2 linked regions of the Arabidopsis thaliana genome follow. The protein of the gene in region 1 purifies or fractionates together with the protein of each later gene. This does not show direct contact. Each region holds a gene or a part of one and is shown on either strand. Other genes may lie near its edges. The genes, in order: AT1G33320 and AT5G15400.

Region 1 (3,928 bases):
ATGATATTTCTTTTGATCTATATGAAAACAATCGGATAACCTCATAACCATATATTTACAGAATATAAAAAAGCTTTGGTATTGTTTTCAGATTTCATAAAAAAAGTGTGCCTTTAAAGATAGCAGTCAATATTAATGAAATTACACAATAGCAACAATCTTTGTTTTACTCTAAAAATATGAGAACTTTTGTTGTTGGCTAGAATCCATTTTTACTAGTCAAGTAATACGTAAATGGCTAAATGCTACTAGTTAGTTGCCAAAAATTTAGATACTAATAGGAAAAATGCTTTTTGCAAGTTACTAAATTATATATTTACTTAAGAAAATACATTTCTCAATATTTTTTATTTTATTTTATTCCACCATCACACCTGTACTCTTTTGGAAAGAGTGTTCTTCTATCACTTTCAGTCATATTTTTTTTGGGTTAAGTTGCAAACTACTCACTTTCCAAAACTTAATTATGAAATAGGGCAGGTTACTATTTATAATTGGAGATTTAGCCACTTCCTTATGACCCCACAAATCAGAAAATCAATTATACCCCATGGTAACAACTTTATTTACCAACATGCCACTATTATGACATGTAGAAGAGAGGGTAAGAGAGAAATGTGGGTGAGATTTTTTATTTAATTTTCTTTTTCTTTCTTTACTACATTTCATTCTTTCAAAGATTAATAATTAAAATGTTCATTTGTAAATTTTATTTTTCTAAAATTGATCATATAAATAAAAATCTATGTTTTTTTATCTATCATTTGATATGCATTTTGTTTATTGATTTTTAATTTTTATATTACAGAACACTGTACATATAATAACTATACAAATATAGACCACTGTAACGATATAAACTACTGTACAGATATAGACCACTGTACAGAATGATGCATTTATAAAGAAAAAATATTAGTTCGTATAATAGTAAATTATGATTTCGTTAAACACATGCATCATTCTGTACAATGCTCTATATCTGTACAGTGGTGTATATCTGTACAATAGTCTACGTATGTACATTTGTCTATATATATACAGTAGTATATATCTAAGAAAATTTCAAAAACGTATTAGTTTCCGAACAAATATCTTTCTGTACAAATGCATCATTTTGTATTGTGGTTTATATCTGTAGAGTAATTGATATCTGTACAGTAGTGTATATCTGTACAGTGGTGTATATCTATGTAAATATTATTTGTATAGTATTCAATAGTATAAAATTTAAAAATCATTAAACAAAATGCATATTAAATGATAGAGAAAAAGACATAGATTTTTATTTATATGATCAATTTTAGAAAAATAAAATTTAAAACTAAGCATTTTAATTACTAAACTTTGAGGGAATGAAATATAATAAAGAAAGAAAATAAAAATTTAAAAAAAAAACTGACACACATCACACATCTCTCAGACGCTTTATCTATTCCTCTTTCTTTCTCTCCTCAGCCAAAGAGGTTCCTTGATAATTTTCAAAATTCTTCCACTATCCCACCTCTACTTCTATTAGCCACCTTATACACATGAGAAACCCGGACTAACCAGTCCTTTGAGAGGAAGCCATGGCACAAACGTACCAGGAATGCCAGCGGATGCGCCTCGCTCATCACTTTCAGTCATATTGAAAAACAAAGACATTTTTTTGTTCTTTCCTTTATTGATACACTAAATAAATTTCCCACTTTAATTAATAAACTAAATAATATGGATAAAATTAAGATATATTTATAAAATATTCAAATAAACTACGACACTTTGTTTTTGTGATTGTGAAACAAAATAAAGTAAGAAACATGCAAATATTAAAAGAAAATGCAAGTAACCAACGTTTCGTAACCAGAGAATCAGAGGTAAATAGGATTTGTTGTGGGTTTAATGGTTTTCAATTAGGTGAAAGATTACGTCGTGATATGAAGACGAGTTCGATCACGACCCTTGTAGTCAACACAACGACCTACTTCTTCAAAGATACTACCGAGCTAATCGACTTCAAGGTCCGTTTATATATGCTTCTAGTTAAAAATTGTAAATGGTGTGTTCCTTTGACTGAGTTAATCAACTATAGGGTTTACAAATATAAGTCTACTTTCAATTTTGTAGGAAAAACGGATTGACTTGTATGAGTATGCTCGTTATGGAAACCCAACAACTATGGCACTCGAAGAAAAGATTAGGTATATCTTTCTCTTGATGTCTTTGTTTACTGTCTCTCTATATCATGAGTTTTGTAAGTTGTTCCATTTTATGCTCAGTGTACTTGAAGGGGCTGAATCAACTTTGGTAATGGCATCGGGGATGTATGCAAGTAATGTTATGCTTTTGGCTTTGGTTCCTACAAATGGACATATTGTGGCAACTAAAGATTGTTACAAGGAGACAAGGATTTTCATGGAGAATTTTCTTACTAAACTGGGAATCACTGTAAGAAAATCTCAATTCATAACTTTCATTTTGTTTCCTTTCCAGCTCCATCGATTAACACTTTGTTATATATATGTGTGTGTGTGTGTGTGTGTTAATGTCTCCAGGTAACTTTTATTGACTCTGATGATATTGCGGGGCTCCAAACTCTTGTTAATAACCATGAGGTATTTTAAGTGATAATTATAAGTTCACTTAGTAACTTTAAAGCTGGTAAGCAATATATGAACTTGTGATCTTTTGTTTTTCAGGTTTCTTTGTTCTTTACCGAGTCCCCAACAAATCCATTTCTTCGATGTGTAGATATTAAGTTAGTTTCAAAAATCTGTCATAGAAGAGGAACTCTTGTTTGTATAGACGCTACCATTGCAACACCTATCAATCAAAAGACACTTGCTCTTGGTGCTGATCTTGTTCACCATTCTGCTACTAAGTACATTGGAGGCCACAACGATGTGCGTAAATCAGAATGTGTAACCTTATTATTCCTTGGAAAAATGGTTATCGAAGAATGATTTATTTGTTCCATGTGTCTTCTCAGTTTCTAGCTGGAAGCATATCCGGTTCAATGGAGTTGGTTTCCAAGATTCGCAATTTGCATAAGCTTTTGGGAGGCACGCTTAATCCGGTTAGAATGATTGATCCTCCTCGAATGATATGACTTTGTAAATGTGTTGAAATTTCAGTTTTTGTCGGTTTGGTTTTTTATTAGACAATTTTGGTTCACATTCTTCTTTTTAGATTTAGCTAGGATCGGTCCTATTATTCAACCTTTGGATAATTGGTTCTTTGTAAAAAGCAGAACGCTGCATATTTACTCATACGAGGCATGAAGACGATGCATCTTCGTGTAAGACAACAGAATTCAACCGGTATGAAGATGGCCCAAGTGTTAGAAGCACATCCCAAGGTACTATATTTTTCATCAAGATCCTTTCTTTCTTTTTGTTTACACATTAGTTATCTATTGGTACGTAAAATTGATAAAAGAGATAAGACAGATTTATGATTGAGTTTTTCGTTAATCACTCATAATCATTTACTTGTGGGCAAGATACATAAAAGAAGAAGAAGCTTACGAGGTTTCTTGCCAAGCAAGTAATAAAATGAAAACGACCTTAAAGAGAAACTAGAAGAAGATATTATTGAATTAATTTGGGATATATCTTACAAATGATCAAGAATCCCCTATTTATACATGCACGTAGACAATTAAGGATCAAACATATATAAAAACATCATAACGTTGCTTCATAATTTTCCTTTCAGTTTGAAATAGATCATCATATCTTATTAGAAAAGGGTTCAATATAATCGTGTTAGGTGAGTCGCGTTTACTATCTAGGCCTTCCGAGTCATCCCGAACATTTAATAGCCAAGCGACAAATGACTGGTATTGGTGGCCTGATCTCTTTCGAGGTAAGAAATAATAAAACTCCATCGATCCAAGAAACTATATTACTAATAATAATCTAAAGATGTCTTTGTTCTTTCACGA
Region 2 (3,928 bases), on another chromosome or scaffold:
GAGAAGGATGCAGAAGGTCACTGGTTACATTTTTGGAACTATTTGGTGGGGTTTTGCTCTTAATCTCATCGCATATTTCATCGCTTCTCATGTAAGTCCTCTCAAGCTAGATATTGTATTTCTGCCTGAATATAATGTCCTGCAACAATAGGTTATATTCAGGTCCTAAAACAAATGCAATATAACAAATCCCATGTGTATATATATAGTACTACTAAGGTCTGTCCTAAGATATGAAATTAAAGTTTGTTGTTTATGGAAATTCTGGTGGTTTCAGGTTGCTGGGGGATGTTGGTATGTTCTCGCAATACAGCGTGTTGCTTCTTGCATAAGACAACAATGTATGAGAACCGGGAACTGCAATCTGAGTCTGGCTTGCAAAGAAGAGGTCTGTTACCAATTTGTGTCACCGACAAGCACAGTTGGATATCCATGCTTATCTGGAAACCTTACCAGTGTGGTCAATAAGCCTATGTGCTTAGACTCTAACGGACCATTCCGATATGGTATCTACCGTTGGGCACTTCCAGTCATCTCCAGCAACTCTCTTGCGGTTAAGATCCTTTACCCCATCTTCTGGGGCCTAATGACTCTCAGGTAATTGCTTTGTTTCTGAGCTTAAGGTTTACATCTTGGATATAAAAAAATTCTCTGATTGACATACTGAATCTGTTTTGGGGGTCGCGTTTTACAGCACATTTGCGAATGATCTTGAGCCCACAAGCAACTGGCTCGAGGTTATTTTCAGTATAGTTATGGTTCTAAGTGGCTTGTTACTTTTCACGCTGTTGATAGGAAACATTCAGGTAAACTATGCAAGAATATGTCTTTTCTATGATATTGTGTTTTCATGGAATGTAAGATTTTAAAAAGCTTTTTACTTTACAATATTTTGAAGGTGTTTTTGCATGCGGTAATGGCGAAAAAAAGGAAAATGCAGATACGGTGTAGGGATATGGAATGGTGGATGAAACGTAGGCAGTTACCTTCCCGGTTAAGACAGAGGGTTAGGCGATTTGAGCGGCAGAGATGGAATGCCTTGGGTGGTGAAGACGAGCTAGAACTTATACATGATTTGCCTCCGGGTCTTCGAAGAGATATCAAACGATATCTTTGCTTTGATCTCATTAACAAGGTACTAGGAAGCAGACTTTATACAATCTTGTTAAGACTTGTGAAAGCAGTAAGTGTTAAGTCTCTGACATGTTTGATCTTTCTCAGGTGCCATTGTTCAGGGGCATGGACGACTTGATCCTCGACAACATTTGCGATCGGGCTAAGCCTCGAGTCTTCTCTAAAGACGAAAAGGTACTCATCCCATCATTTCTAAAAATTTATATTTCCAATATTTTGCTTCGGTTTCGGTTTAAGAGTTTACTTGAAGAGTAAAATCTGAGGTTCTTCGATTTTGTTGATTGTCACAGATCATCCGTGAAGGAGATCCTGTACAGAGAATGATATTCATCATGCGTGGACGAGTCAAACGTATACAGAGCCTAAGCAAAGGCGTCCTAGCCACTAGTACACTAGAACCAGGCGGTTACTTGGGCGACGAGCTACTCTCATGGTGCCTACGTCGCCCGTTTCTGGACCGTCTTCCCCCTTCCTCAGCAACATTTGTCTGCCTAGAAAACATCGAGGCATTCTCCCTCGGATCCGAAGATCTTAGGTACATTACCGATCATTTCCGTTATAAATTCGCGAACGAGCGGCTTAAGCGGACCGCAAGATACTATTCCTCAAACTGGAGGACGTGGGCAGCGGTAAATATTCAGATGGCGTGGCGCCGGCGTAGGAAAAGAACCCGTGGTGAAAACATCGGCGGTTCGATGAGTCCTGTGTCGGAGAATAGCATTGAAGGTAACAGTGAACGCCGGTTACTTCAGTATGCAGCTATGTTCATGTCCATTCGACCGCATGATCATCTCGAATAATAATAAAAAGTTCCAATTTTATATCGGTCCAAATAATTGTGTGTTCATTGTTCCTCCTCAATTGTTTACCTTTACTTCTTTAAAAAATCTTTCTTGGAATGATACTTCAACCTCTTACGGTTAAGTTCAAAGTAGATTTTTTGAGCAACAAAATCTTGGAGGAGTTTATCTTGGTAATTTTTTATTTTTTATTTTTTATTAGCAGTAAAAGTAATTGTCTTAATAAGTATAAACGACGTCGTTAGTAAGTACGACGTTTGCATATATCCTATATAGACTTTTTGTCCAAGCTCAGGACTTGCTAAAGCTCGTTCAGAGACTCCAAAAGAGTTCATAAACAAAAACCTACTCCCAGAAAGTTCTTCCAAATCTCTCGCCATGGTTTCTCTCTTCTTTCGTGAATTTTAGTTTTTCTAAATTTAATTATACTTTAAATTGCTAAGTCCAAACTCTTTCGCTTTTGATTCATCGGTAATACAAGTTTAAGAAAAAAAATTCTTATATTTATCTCTCAAATCGAGTTTCGAGTGTTTGATTTGATTCGTAAAATCAATGGCGACGAGCAAACCTCAAAGATCGCCGGCTGAAATTGAGGATATAATCCTCCGGAAGATATTTTATGTAACCCTAACGGAATCAACTGATTCCGATCCTCGTATTGTTTACTTGGAGATGACGGCCGCTGAGATTCTCAGCGAAGGTAAAGAGCTTTTGCTTTCTCGTGATTTGATGGAGAGAGTTCTCATAGATCGTCTCTCCGGCGACTTTTCCGACGCCGAACCGCCTTTCCCGTATTTAATCGGTTGCCACCGTCGTGCTTACGACGAATCGAAGAAAATCCAGTCGATGAAGGATAAGAATCTGAGATCGGAGATGGAGATTGTCACTAAACAAGCGAAGAAGCTTGCTGTTTCTTACTGTAGGATTCACTTGGGGAATCCTGACATGTTTGGGAACTCGGATAAACCTAGTGGTGGATTGGATAATAGGTTGAAGAAGAGGAATGTCTCTCCGGTTCTTCCGTTGATCTTTGCTGAGGTTGGTTCTGGTTCGTTGGATATGTTTGGAGCTAGTAGCAGTGGGGTTCAAGCTCCTCCTGGGTTTTTGGATGAGTTTTTCAAAGACTCGGATTTTGATAGCTTGGACTCGATTCTAAAGGAGCTGTATGAGGATTTGAGGTCTACGGTTATAAATGTATCAGTGCTTGGAGATTTCCAGCCACCACTGAGGGCACTCAAGTATCTTGTTAGCTTACCAGTAGGAGCTAAATCTCTGGTTAGTCATGAGTGGTGGGTTCCACGGGGTGCCTATATGAACGGCCGAGCAATGGAGTTGACTAGCATTCTTGGGCCTTTCTTCCATATTAGTGCGCTGCCAGATAATACACTATTCAAGAGTCAACCTGATGTTGGGTGAGTTCCAACTTATTTATGGGTTTCTATTACTGAGAATCATGTAGTCTTTGGGGCTCTTTTCTTATTGAGAAAGTTTGGATAGTAAGAATTATTGATTAGCTTTTACTCATAGTAGAGAGACTTGATCAAAAAAGGAAAAAAGCAGATATATTTGGCTTATATATGATGCCACTGTTAGGTTGTATACATATTTTAAGCATGATTATATAAATTTAGCATAGTTAGATGATCAGTAGAGGCGAAACCAACAGAAATATTAGTAAGCACTATGTTAAGTTAGAATATTGTGGATGAAATCCATTATTTTGAGCATTTTTTCTGGTCTGTACTGAAGAATCTTGATTGTCCATTTAGTATTTGACAAGGCTTAATTGTGCGAACATAAGAGTTTTCCTGATCCACCTCAGAGGATATACTTTACCTGTTATGAAAATGCTGATATATGTCTATTGTTTTTGTGAATATCAGGCAGCAGTGTTTCTCTGAAGCATCGGAACGTCGTCCCGCAGATTTATTATCATCCTTCTCCACGATTAAAAATTTCATGAACATTTTGTACAGCGGGCTGCATGATGTATT

What was found.
Region 2: the proteins of AT1G33320 (region 1) and AT5G15400 fractionate together in Arabidopsis thaliana (co-fractionation; one large-scale study listed by BioGRID). This does not show direct contact.

The regions. Positions count from the first base shown.
Region 1 is NC_003070.9:12,079,207-12,083,134, forward strand, and holds the start of AT1G33320 (Pyridoxal phosphate (PLP)-dependent transferases superfamily protein), read left to right. Parts: upstream 1-1,802; coding exon 1,803-2,003; intron 2,004-2,058; exon of another isoform or gene 2,059-2,109; coding exon 2,110-2,183; intron 2,184-2,261; coding exon 2,262-2,430; intron 2,431-2,537; coding exon 2,538-2,597; intron 2,598-2,681; coding exon 2,682-2,885; intron 2,886-2,971; coding exon 2,972-3,058; intron 3,059-3,232; coding exon 3,233-3,340; intron 3,341-3,753; coding exon 3,754-3,849; intron 3,850-3,928. UniProt on the Arabidopsis thaliana protein: Catalyzes the first committed step of methionine (Met) biosynthesis. Catalyzes the formation of L-cystathionine from homoserine esters and L-cysteine, via a gamma-replacement reaction.
Region 2 is NC_003076.8:5,001,466-5,005,393, reverse strand, and holds the start of AT5G15400 (U-box domain-containing protein), read left to right. Parts: upstream 1-2,140; 5' UTR 2,141-2,486; coding exon 2,487-3,346; intron 3,347-3,817; coding exon 3,818-3,928. Other genes in the region: DND1 (Cyclic nucleotide-regulated ion channel family protein), read left to right, coding at 1-91, 278-597, 695-806, 899-1,135, 1,222-1,308, 1,425-1,934. UniProt on the Arabidopsis thaliana protein: Ubiquitin-protein ligase that may function as an E3 ligase in conjunction with specific E1 and E2 ligases. May also function as an E4 ligase mediating the assembly of polyubiquitin chain assembly on substrates monoubiquitinated by another E3 ubiquitin ligase.